Saccharomyces cerevisiae S288C: one gene and its partners. Changing the gene in region 1 together with any one later gene gives a genetic interaction. Each region holds a gene or a part of one and is shown in the gene's direction. Other genes may lie near its edges.

Region 1 (2,722 bases):
ATTCCTATTCTTGGCTACCATTATTCTACTGGGTTTCTTGGTGCCATACAATTCCGATCAATTATTGGGTTCTACCGGTGGTGGTACTAAAGCCTCGCCATATGTCATTGCTGTTGCATCCCACGGTGTCCGTGTCGTCCCACACTTCATTAACGCCGTTATTCTACTTTCCGTGCTGTCCATGGCTAACTCCTCCTTCTACTCCAGTGCTCGTTTATTTTTAACTCTATCCGAGCAAGGTTACGCTCCTAAGGTTTTCTCCTACATCGACAGAGCCGGTAGACCATTGATTGCCATGGGTGTTTCTGCATTGTTTGCCGTTATTGCCTTCTGTGCTGCATCTCCCAAGGAAGAACAAGTTTTCACTTGGTTATTGGCCATTTCTGGTTTGTCTCAGCTTTTCACATGGACTGCCATTTGTTTATCCCATCTTAGATTTAGAAGAGCCATGAAAGTCCAAGGGAGATCTCTTGGAGAATTGGGTTTCAAATCTCAAACTGGTGTTTGGGGATCTGCCTACGCTTGCATTATGATGATTTTAATTCTTATTGCCCAATTTTGGGTCGCTATCGCCCCCATTGGTGAAGGTAAGCTGGATGCACAAGCCTTTTTCGAAAACTACTTGGCTATGCCAATCTTGATTGCACTTTATGTCGGCTACAAGGTCTGGCACAAGGATTGGAAACTGTTCATCAGGGCAGACAAGATCGACCTAGATTCTCATAGACAAATCTTTGATGAAGAATTAATCAAGCAAGAAGACGAAGAATATAGGGAACGTTTGAGGAACGGACCTTATTGGAAAAGGGTCGTTGCCTTCTGGTGTTAAAAAAAAAAGCATTTACTTCTTTTATATTTATTCATTTTTGTACTTCTGTTTTGTAGTAATAGCATACGTGTAATGATAGACGATTTTCATTTTAATTCTAGTCCTTTATGAGCGAAGAAAAAAAATAAAAAGCACTAACGATTGCGTGATGGAAGTGGAGAGGAAAATATAAGTGAAATAATATGAAGTGAGAGAAAAATGATTTCCTTTTGTTCTTAATGCAACAGAAGAGGTTTGATTTCATCCGCATATGCAATTTTGCCTTAGTAGGGGTGCAACCGTTTTCGTCGTGCATCAGGAACGATCTTCTTGCCTTTTTTAAAAATCTACGTTAAGAATTTTTAATTTTGTTAAGGTGTAATTAGCATTAGAATGACTGAAGCATTCAGTTTAACCAACTTGTTCTGCGATATTTTTACTTCTGAAATAACAATGTCTGCGAGTGTTACTTGATTATTAATCAATATTTGTCAATGCTCTTCCGAATAATTTTTCAATTTGTCAGCTTTGCTCTGCGCTTTTCCTTACTGCGACAATAAATGGCAAAGGAAAAAAAAATACAGTGTCATTTGCAGATATGACACACTTTAACACCTGAGTGGGTCATCACTACTTTGTGTTTGTCTCCACCCATGTTGTGATCGAAGAGAGATATAAAGGTTGATCATTTTTGGTTTTTTAAAGCTATATACACCATCAAAATCAAGAACACCAGACCTCCAAGCCAAAGAAATGTCCCCAACTGGAAACTACTTAAACGCTATTACAAACCGTCGTACCATCTACAATTTGAAGCCCGAATTACCACAAGGTGTCGGTTTGGATGATGTAAAGAGAACTGTACACGTTATTCTCAAGAATACGCCAACAGCTTTTAACTCACAAGTGAATCGCGCTGTCATTATCGTTGGTGATACACACAAAAGGATATGGGATGCTGTTGCGAGCGCAATGCCAACTGCTGAAGCCAAGAAGAGACCAGAGTCTTGCAGAGATGAGGCTTACGGTTCAGTCATTTTCTTCACTGATGAAGGACCAACTGAAAAACTGCAAAGAGATTTTCCAGCCTTGGCAGCCGCTTTCCCAACATGCGCCGCTCATACGACCGGTGCTGTGCAAATTCAGTCTTGGACTGCCCTCGAACTATTGGGATTGGGGGCTAATTTGCAACACTATAATGACTACGTCAAATCTGCTTTGCCTCAAGATGTTCCTATTGCGTGGACTGTACAATCTCAATTGGTCTTTGGTGTTCCAACTGCCTTGCCAGAAGAAAAGACTTTTATCAATAACGTAATCAACGTTTATCACTGAACAGGAAATTCGCATATGAGGAGATCTTAATTTATCTCATGAAGTAATGATACCTCAGCGATGTGCTCGCTCGTTAGTATGCTTCATAAATTCATTATTATTTTTTTTTGGAAGTGTTTTTCGACAAAAGTTGCATTTTTACGAAGGATATGTAAACTCAAGAAGTACTAAATAAATATAAATACAATTCGAAAATTTGAAAAAAGTAGGAGACAACACTTTCCTTCCTCACGAAGAAGTTAAGCTTGGGTTTGTGACTTACTAACGTCAACGTACAATCGCGTTACAAACAAGATGCTTGCATTCTTACCTTACATTACAAGGACTTAGACGAAGAAAAAGTTCAGAAACACTGCTTACACTATTCACCAGACCCGCTCCTTCTCCTAACATCAATAACGAACAGCACTATTGATGTAAGAACGTCTTAGCTTAGTAATAAAGCTCTACCTTGTTATCGTACAATAATCCAGTATACCGCTTTTACTAATGATTATTCGAGAAAAATCGGACTGTGGCGTTTTACGTGAAAATTACGTAAAGAAAAAGATCCTGGGGTGCCTCGAGCTTTTCGGGCTA
Region 2 (2,824 bases), on another chromosome or scaffold:
AAAGATAAGAGACGGGGTTTACCCTTCGGAGGACTAAGCGAGATCTCCAAGTAAAGATCTCGCTTATCAAGAAAGCAGCCAAGTGTGGAACGTCCTTTTTTTTGGTTTCAAAAAGATATTCAACAGTTTACACTGCAGCTTTAATTGCCTCAAAAGGATATCATGAGGTGATCTAGGGTCAGAAGGGAAAGATTACAGCATCTTGAGTTGAATCACATCTGCAAAAGGTGGTATTATTGACGTTGCTCTTCCTTAATGGAAACTCATGGGGTTTGGAAAGGAGGTGCGGTAATCTATTTTTTTCGAACACAAAACCTAACCTTGAAAAGAAACTGTCCAATTTCATTGAACTTACCTCAGAACGGGCCGGAGTCTTTGCTTTCAGTCTAACATGGTCTAATTTCTTCGAAAAGCTTCATTTAATTGTTAGACTGTGGTTTTACAAGGAAAAAACCAGTGCTATACTGAAGCGATACCCAGAACTAATTACCTTGTGTGACGATTCGGCTCAGCGAAACGGACATGGTAAAATTGGGAATTTGAAAGCAGGCAGCAGCCTTGTACAGCGACATGACGATAGGTTTAGAATCCCCATCACGTACGAGTTGAAGAATTCTACGAAGGCTCTATGCGTTATTCCTCTATCGGTATAAAGTGTAGCGTTGTAGGGGGGATATTGGTGGTTTAGTTGAATTTGCGCAACGAAATTATAGAACTCATAAAAGTTCAATTCAATACTTGAAACCCTTAACGTTGGTTCGACCATCAATTGTTTGGACATAATAGTTTTATTCTGCGGCCGATTTCAAAATTTAGTAAATCAAATGTTGAAGCATCACCAGTAGGATGACCACTCCCATGACAAAACTCCGTCCCAAAGATAGCTTGATCATCCTAAGCGGGTCGCATTTTACTATCCCCAGTTCCGAAGAATAACAAGGCTCAATGCATATGCTGTTTATCGTGCTCACAAGGCGGTATGACGTTTTTAGCAATGTAATTATATTAAAAAGATCTTCAGTCACTATGAGTGGTTGATTGCCCCATAGAGAGCTATAAGCCGACGTGAAAGCTGCTGGTTCCAGCTTGGCTCATGTCGTCACCAGTCACTAGTCACTTGGTCGCATTCATTGCTACTCATCTGCGAGTGAGCATATTTGAGATCTGACTTGCCAAGGGATTAGAATCACGTAAGACTCTTGATCCTTAGAAGATATTTCTGACAAAGAACCACCTAAGCCATGCAAGTTTTTTTTTTCATTTGGTGGCGAAACAAAGGTGATGAAAGTTTCTTCTTGTACAAACGCCAAGCCCGATAGGTGAGACAATTCTTGAAGTAATGGACCTCTGAGTAAGCATATCAGTCGAATGAAGTTCCAATATGCGTTGGCCAAGGAACAGCTAGGCAGCAACTCGCGCAGTGGCGTCAAAAAACTAATAAGTAAACACCACTGGCTTCCGGAATACTATTTCTCTGATCTCTCATTTTCTGTTGTACAGCAGTGGGACAGTAGAGCCATTGAAAAAACTACAATCATATCTTGTATGCGGCCCGCAAACCAAGAGATTTATCCTTTGAGACATTGTGAGACCCTCCGTTCGCAACCGTGCTCTCTGTTTTCATCACTATATGCACGCTCTTTCCAAAGCTCCTGCACTTTGCACGTGGCGGAGCCATCGCCCGGCTTCCATATGTACGGCTGCCACACCTAACTATTTCGGTTGCGGCCATATCTACCAGAAAGCACCGTTTCCCGTCCGATCAACTGTAGTTAAGCTGGTAAGAGCCTGACCGAGTAGTGTAGTGGGTGACCATACGCGAAACTCAGGTGCTGCAATCTTTTTTTTTTTTCCGCGCGCAAGCACGTTACCCGGACCCCGTCTTAGCACACGCACACGCACACGCAGCGCTCACAGACCAGCGAAACAGACCTGAGAGCCACGATGCAGCACACGCTTACCCGGACCGCCTCTCTGCCAGAACGCTCGAGCAGCGCCCACAGCGCCGCTACTGCGTTACCCGCACTTCGCCGCCCGCCAGACAGCTGCGAGACTCTCGTCCCGCTACTGTGTATCTTTTGGTTCGTCTTCGTTAGTATGAGCCCGCTCCCGCCGGCTCGTGCCAACAAATCAGACAACAAAGGCTTAATCTCAGCAGATCGTAACAACAAGGCTACTCTACTGCTTACAATACCCCGTTGTACATCCAAGTCGTATACAAATGATTTATCCCCACTCAAAATGACATTGCTATCCGCCGGCAAGCACCCAAGGCCTTTCCGCCAAGAGCACCGTTGCTAGCCTGCTATGGTTCAGCGACGCCACAAGGACGCCTTATTCGTATCCATCTATATTGTGTGGAGCAAAGAAATCACCGCGTTCTAGCATGGATTCTGACTTAGAGGCGTTCAGCCATAATCCAGCGGATGGTAGCTTCGCGGCAATGCCTGATCAGACAGCCGCAAAAACCAATTATCCGAATGAACTGTTCCTCTCGTACTAAGTTCAATTACTATTGCGGTAACATTCATCAGTAGGGTAAAACTAACCTGTCTCACGACGGTCTAAACCCAGCTCACGTTCCCTATTAGTGGGTGAACAATCCAACGCTTACCGAATTCTGCTTCGGTATGATAGGAAGAGCCGACATCGAAGAATCAAAAAGCAATGTCGCTATGAACGCTTGACTGCCACAAGCCAGTTATCCCTGTGGTAACTTTTCTGGCACCTCTAGCCTCAAATTCCGAGGGACTAAAGGATCGATAGGCCACACTTTCATGGTTTGTATTCACACTGAAAATCAAAATCAAGGGGACTTTTACCC
Region 3 (2,737 bases), on another chromosome or scaffold:
AGCTGCAATGAAGACAATTGATCGACTTTCACAAACTTTTTCAATCTACTAATCTTTGGAAGCATTTTTTAACTGTCTCCCACTCTTGTTCCATGACTTAAATTTCTCTTCCTCCAAATTAACTGAATTTTTTTTCTGGATTGATGTTCTTTCCAATTGTTGTGGTAATCCACAGCTGGTATAACATAAAAAGAAGTTTTTTGTAAAAAAAAAAAATTTCTCAGTAAGCATATAAGCCTCAGTGAAATAAAATTTTAACAACTACACGCTATTCTATTCCATTTGCCCTGCTTTTCTCGCTTCGTTATCACCTAACCACTAAGAACATACTAATAATACAAAATTTTTATCCACTTTTTACCAACAGATTTTCATGAAATATCCATCTTCTTTCCGAATTCTGTATAAAATGAAAGAGAGATTTTTTGCTCTCAATCCAGGCTCAAGGCTCTTGAGAACAGGTAATTGTTGTTTAGCACGTTTTCAACACATTTATCAGAAAACGACAGTTAAAAATAAGACGAGCGGCGTTATCATCCTGATAGTCACTAAATGAAAAGCAGGTACTTTTGAAGAGCACATGTAATATTTGCTCAACTGATAATACCTTCATTTTATACACACTTCTAATTTTTTTTTTAAAATCAGATACGCATTGATGTTCAATGTAGCATTACCATCACAAGACAAAAAATCAGAATTTTACAAGCAAAAGCGCTTATCTTTAAGGACCAACATATTAGATGAATTCTTAAGGGTTGCCAAAACGCAAGACAACAGGCAAAATAATTTCGTTTCTCAGTACCGAAATGACGAAATATACTGAGGCAAATGCGATCATCATGCCTTTGCGCCAAGAAACTCCCTTGTGAAGAACTTCAAACCGAAATGGGAAAACTTTGAGTTATTGACAGGGAATACGGAGGGGAAGATCACACTTAAATCCGTATGAGCCGCGCACATAATGGTATTCAAATACACAAGAACATTCATGAGCTATTTTTCATCCGTGCAAACGAATTTACTACAATTGGACCAGAGGGCACCATAACTGGAGACTTTGCTACTGACTCAACGTTGATGATGCGAGTAGTGGGTGTACTGTGATTTGCTCATTTTTTTTTTTATAGAAAGATTCGATTAATGAAAGTCACAGGAGACATTTTTACATAGACATTCCGTATATGTTGCGGGTATCGCGGATGCGGATTAGTGATGCCTTTAACTACATTTCATAGATTTCTGTATACCAATTGAAATGAGTGAAGTAAGCTCCTACAGTGAAATATCTGGGTGCTACTGACGCCAAGCCCTACAGCGATCGGAATGCGGGAACGGAAGTTAACGGGGCTTCCAGAACGGCGGAAGCGAATTGAACGAGGACGGCAAACAAAAACACCCAAAATTTCATTACTTAGAATGACCCTCAAGAGCAGGGTGCAATTTATCAAGCGATCATTGAACTAACTAAGTTCATATCCTGTATAGGATTTAAAACAATGCACCCTAAGTTCAAATGCACCCCCCCTCGCCCCGCAGCGGACCCTTGAACAGAGAACTGTTTCGAGGTTCACCCAATTGGATCACTTGTATAATTTGTAATCGAGTTCGGATAAGATGTATACGAATCTAACTGGGTGCAGTATAATTAGCATTTTATATTACCTAGCAATATATGTATAAAACAGGAATGTGTGCGTGCTTCAGGCAGAATTTTACGGTCCTTGTAAAAAAGTCTATCATAAAGCCATCACAAAACAATAATAATGAAATTCTCAACTATTTTCGGAGCTACTACAGTTATGACTGCCGTCTCGGCAGCAGCTGTGTCGAGTGTAATGACCACTAAGACTATTACTGCTACTAACGGTAATAACGTTTACACTAAGGTCGTTACCGACACCGCTGACCCTATCATTAGTTACAGTACCACTAGAACTGTCGTTGTCAGTAATAGTGATGCTACTTACACAAAGGTTGTCACCGAAGGACCAGATACCACCTCTGAAAAGAGTACAACAAAGACACTTACTTTGACAAACGGTTCAGGTTCATCAACCAACCTTTACACCAAGACCGTCACTCAAGCCGTCGAATCATCTACATCCTCCTCATCCTCCTCATCCTCCTCCTCCTCTTCTGCCTCTTCTTCTGGTGCTGCTCCTGCTGCATTCCAAGGAGCAAGTGTCGGTGCATTGGCCCTTGGTTTGATTTCTTACCTATTATAAGCTCGGTTTCAAACCAGAAAAAAGCTATTAGTTATCGTGTATAGCATATTTATAACTTATCTATGAAAAGCTAATATAATTGTCTTTCTCCTTCAAAAGGCTAGTAAAAAGGACTTTTTTTCATTACGTTTCTCAGTGACTTCAATGTAGCAGTTTTTCGTTTCATCATCATCATCGTATTATTATTATTGTTATTATTATTATTATCATTACTTTTATTAATATTAACTATTTTTTTAGTATGATTTCGGGTATATTTATTTTAATTAGATACTTTTAACCGTTTCAAACAATTAAAGGAAGACCAACGAACTTGAAACAGTATATATACATACATACTTAATGTGTGTTATTAAAATTTTTTTATTCTAACATAACTTCGAAAAAAGGCCAAGCCGCAAGGTGCTTCATAAAAATCGGATATCCCGCATGATTATTCACATATCATTTACAATAACATGACGGCAGCAAGGGCAGCACCCATCAAACCAGTACCAGCGGTGATGGCA
Region 4 (3,435 bases), on another chromosome or scaffold:
TTGGAGTTCTGTAAACCATAGTGATTTATGGACCAACGCCTCCAGAGGCAATGATGTAGCCTAACGAGGTACATGTTGTAATCTAGCACGTCCTCTGAAGAGCAACTTGGTAATCGAAGTAGTTTATGTTTGCGCATCTTCAATAGTAGTGTCCATGAAGCCGATATTTCCAAGCTTGCATCATTAAATTCATGATGGAAATAGTCAATCGCAGGCTTGTTGTAGTTGGTCATGTTATCCAGTAACATTATATTCTGGTACGAAATTATTGTATCGTCCAAACTAGTCATTTTCTGTATATGTATCTATTTGTGTGTGTATGAACACTTGTGTGTAGTATCTGAATGCGATAAGAGAAAGGGCCAAAGTTGAACTGAATGCAAAAAGTAAAACCTATAAAACCGTGTTGACCATACGCTTTCATATATATATATATATATGTTTGTTTTTGCTAAGACCCGGTAACTGTACTTTTTCTGCAGTCATCCAAGGGAAGACAAAAGAAGAAAGAAAAAACAAGATTAATGTCCCCAGGTTTTTTCTTTTCCTGGCGGAAAAAGCTCAAATCTAACATTTCCCCGCGGGGGTTTCTTTGTAAAGAGTATCGAGTCGGAAACGAAAAAAAAAAAAAGATGAGAAAATGAATTTTTCCGGTCGCCTAAAGATAGAGGTACCAGCGGAAAAAATGCAGCAAAAGCAAAATACCCCATTCAAGTTCCCCCTGTCTCGCCCCTCTCACGCTTCACTGTCCCCCGCTTTCGGTTTTTCCGGCTACGGCATTTCTGTTGAAAGTTGCCGGAAAAACCCCAAAAAGCATAAAAAAAAAGAGCGGGGGGAAGAAAAAAAGATTCCTTTCTATCTTTTCCTTCCCCGGCCTATTCGGGTACTCGCTTCCGGGTCCGCTGTCGTTTATAATGATTAGTGCAGAGAGCTTTCTTCTCTTAGTTTTTCATGTGGTAAAGGCAATGCCATTTAGAAGGATACTACGTGGGGTTCAAAACCGTGAATACGTTGTCTATCGTGTTATGTATGTTCTGAGTTTCTTTTTGTCATTCTACTAGTTTATGGACTGGGACTATGTATCTTGCAGTATGATTTCGTCAGGAAGCTTGTCATAGCAAGGCCTGAACAAATCGTACGTTAAAATAAAAATGAGCACCAATTCGAGTCACTGATGCCTACTGCTCAATCCAACCATCTAGTTCTGCAAAGATACTTACTCCGCATAATTAAAAAAATAAGGTATTTTAAAGTTGTGTAGTGACGAATGTAGTGACGCGGAAACGTTTTACTCGTCAATGGACATTTGCGAATGTGTCCGATAAATAGTTGAGGCTTTTCCTGCATTCTGTCAAGAAGGGTATGTGTATGAACATGCAAATGACACTGTAAAATGATTCATTACCCTGATTATGGAGTGATTTTCTTTCCTTTTTTTTTTTACATTTAGTTTCATTATTATGCAAATTAGAGGGTATACAGTTGAGATTTTAACACTTTGAATTAAAAAGTGTTACAGAGGAAACCGACGCAAAAGGCTTGGTGACGCAAACTTTTCCATCTTTATTTCACCTCTTCAGACGGTCCTAAGACCTTTTGAACGTATCAATATAGTTTTATCATCTGTTCTCTGTTGTTCTCCGTTACTAAGATATTAGTCAGCTCTTGAAATTTCACACCCCTATTTATTTGTCTTAGCGTCCAACCCCTCTCAACCCTTTTCCATTTCTTGTATAAAGGTAGTTAATTAGGTAACGCTGCTCTTACCATCACTACAGTGCTTACGAGAATTTACCCAAACCCTGCGCAAGATAAATAAGAAATGTCGAAACAGTGGGCGAGTGGTACAAACGGAGCTTTCAAAAGACAGGTTTCGTCCTTCAGAGAAACAATCTCTAAGCAACACCCAATTTATAAGCCAGCAAAGGGAAGATATTGGTTGTATGTTTCACTTGCATGCCCATGGGCCCATAGAACACTAATTACGAGGGCTTTGAAGGGATTAACCTCTGTTATAGGATGTAGCGTAGTCCATTGGCACCTTGACGAGAAAGGATGGAGATTTTTGGACATGGAAAAGCAATTGGAGGACAGTGAAGATTTTTTGGAACATTGGCACGATGTTGCAGGTGGTATTAGAACTGCTAAAGAGGATTCCAGCAAGAGCTTCGCCGAGATCAAGAATGACAGTCAAAGATTCATGGTTGATGCTACCAATGAGCCTCACTATGGATACAAGAGAATCAGTGACTTATATTACAAGAGCGATCCTCAATACTCGGCAAGGTTCACCGTCCCAGTCCTGTGGGACTTAGAAACCCAAACAATTGTTAACAACGAAAGTAGCGAAATTATAAGGATTTTGAACTCTAGTGCGTTCGATGAATTTGTCGACGACGATCACAAGAAAACGGACCTTGTTCCTGCTCAGTTGAAAACACAGATCGATGACTTCAATTCTTGGGTTTACGACAGCATCAACAATGGTGTATACAAGACCGGATTCGCAGAGAAAGCAGAAGTTTACGAAAGTGAAGTCAACAACGTATTTGAACATTTGGACAAAGTGGAGAAAATCCTGAGTGACAAATATTCCAAATTGAAGGCCAAATACGGTGAAGAAGATAGACAAAAAATCTTGGGTGAGTTCTTCACTGTGGGTGATCAATTAACAGAAGCTGACATTAGATTGTATACTACCGTCATAAGATTCGATCCTGTGTACGTCCAACATTTCAAATGCAATTTTACCTCTATTAGAGCCGGATATCCATTTATTCATTTGTGGGTAAGAAATTTATACTGGAATTATGATGCCTTCAGGTACACAACAGATTTTGACCATATCAAGTTACACTACACGCGTTCCCACACAAGGATCAACCCCTTGGGAATTACGCCCCTGGGACCCAAGCCAGATATTCGTCCTTTATAACAAGCTGTAATTAAATAATCAAATGTCTATAATCTCCCTGAGTTGCCTCTTTTTCTATACTCAATTGGGTAATTGACGCGAAACGCGTTAAAGTGCAAAAAAAGGCCTGGAAATTATATTTAACGCAATGAAATATTTTCATAATATGACATTCATGCACAGCTGTATTCATTCTTCTACTTTGTAGTTTGTTATTCTTCTTTATCGGTTTCGTTTTACAAAAGATTTTAGCAAGGAAGCAGTTTTTAAACCAATCAATGGTATACACAACACCGCAACAACAGCAGAGATTCAGCTCCACACCGCAATCTAGCCACACTCTTATCTTCTCGCCAATCAGAGCCCCTTCAATGCAAACGCCCTCCTCATTGGATTACCAATCACCTTCAATTGTTGTGTCATCGTCTTCAATGAAGGTTCACGGCCGGTCTTCCAGTTTCGGTAAATTTTCACTGTCTATTGGGCAAAATGGTAAGGCTACAATACTGGGGCCTATAAAC

What was found.
Region 2: mutations in FRM2 (region 1) and YLR162W together harm fitness more than expected from each alone (negative genetic interaction), as found in Saccharomyces cerevisiae (one large-scale study listed by BioGRID).
Region 3: mutations in FRM2 (region 1) and FIT2 together harm fitness more than expected from each alone (negative genetic interaction), as found in Saccharomyces cerevisiae (one large-scale study listed by BioGRID).
Region 4: mutations in FRM2 (region 1) and ECM4 together harm fitness more than expected from each alone (negative genetic interaction), as found in Saccharomyces cerevisiae (one large-scale study listed by BioGRID).

Annotation. Positions count from the first base shown.
Region 1 is NC_001135.5:74,125-76,846, reverse strand, and holds FRM2 (type II nitroreductase), read left to right. Parts: upstream 1-1,561; coding exon 1,562-2,143; downstream 2,144-2,722. Other genes in the region: amino acid transporter AGP1, read left to right, coding at 1-829. UniProt on the Saccharomyces cerevisiae protein: Type II nitroreductase, able to reduce 4-nitroquinoline N-oxide (4-NQO) into 4-aminoquinoline-N-oxide (4-AQO) via 4-hydroxyaminoquinoline (4-HAQO), using NADH as reductant. involved in the oxidative stress response.
Region 2 is NC_001144.5:487,629-490,452, forward strand, and holds YLR162W (uncharacterized protein), read left to right. Parts: upstream 1-1,944; coding exon 1,945-2,301; downstream 2,302-2,824. Other genes in the region: YLR161W (uncharacterized protein), read left to right, coding at 1,369-1,713; RRT15 (Rrt15p), read left to right, coding at 2,778-2,824. UniProt on the Saccharomyces cerevisiae protein: Overexpression confers resistance to the antimicrobial peptide MiAMP1.
Region 3 is NC_001147.6:1,057,765-1,060,501, forward strand, and holds FIT2 (Fit2p), read left to right. Parts: upstream 1-1,766; coding exon 1,767-2,228; downstream 2,229-2,737. Other genes in the region: YOR381W-A (uncharacterized protein), read left to right, coding at 659-826; FIT3 (Fit3p), read right to left, coding at 2,677-2,737. UniProt on the Saccharomyces cerevisiae protein: Involved in the uptake of non-siderophore and siderophore sources of iron. Has a role in the retention of iron in the cell wall and periplasmic space.
Region 4 is NC_001143.9:580,461-583,895, forward strand, and holds ECM4 (S-glutathionyl-(chloro)hydroquinone reductase), read left to right. Parts: upstream 1-1,822; coding exon 1,823-2,935; downstream 2,936-3,435. Other genes in the region: YKR075C (uncharacterized protein), read right to left, coding at 1-290; MSA2 (Msa2p), read left to right, coding at 3,193-3,435. UniProt on the Saccharomyces cerevisiae protein: Active as '1-Cys' thiol transferase against beta-hydroxyethyl disulfide (HED), as dehydroascorbate reductase and as dimethylarsinic acid reductase, while not active against the standard GST substrate 1-chloro-2,4-dinitrobenzene (CDNB).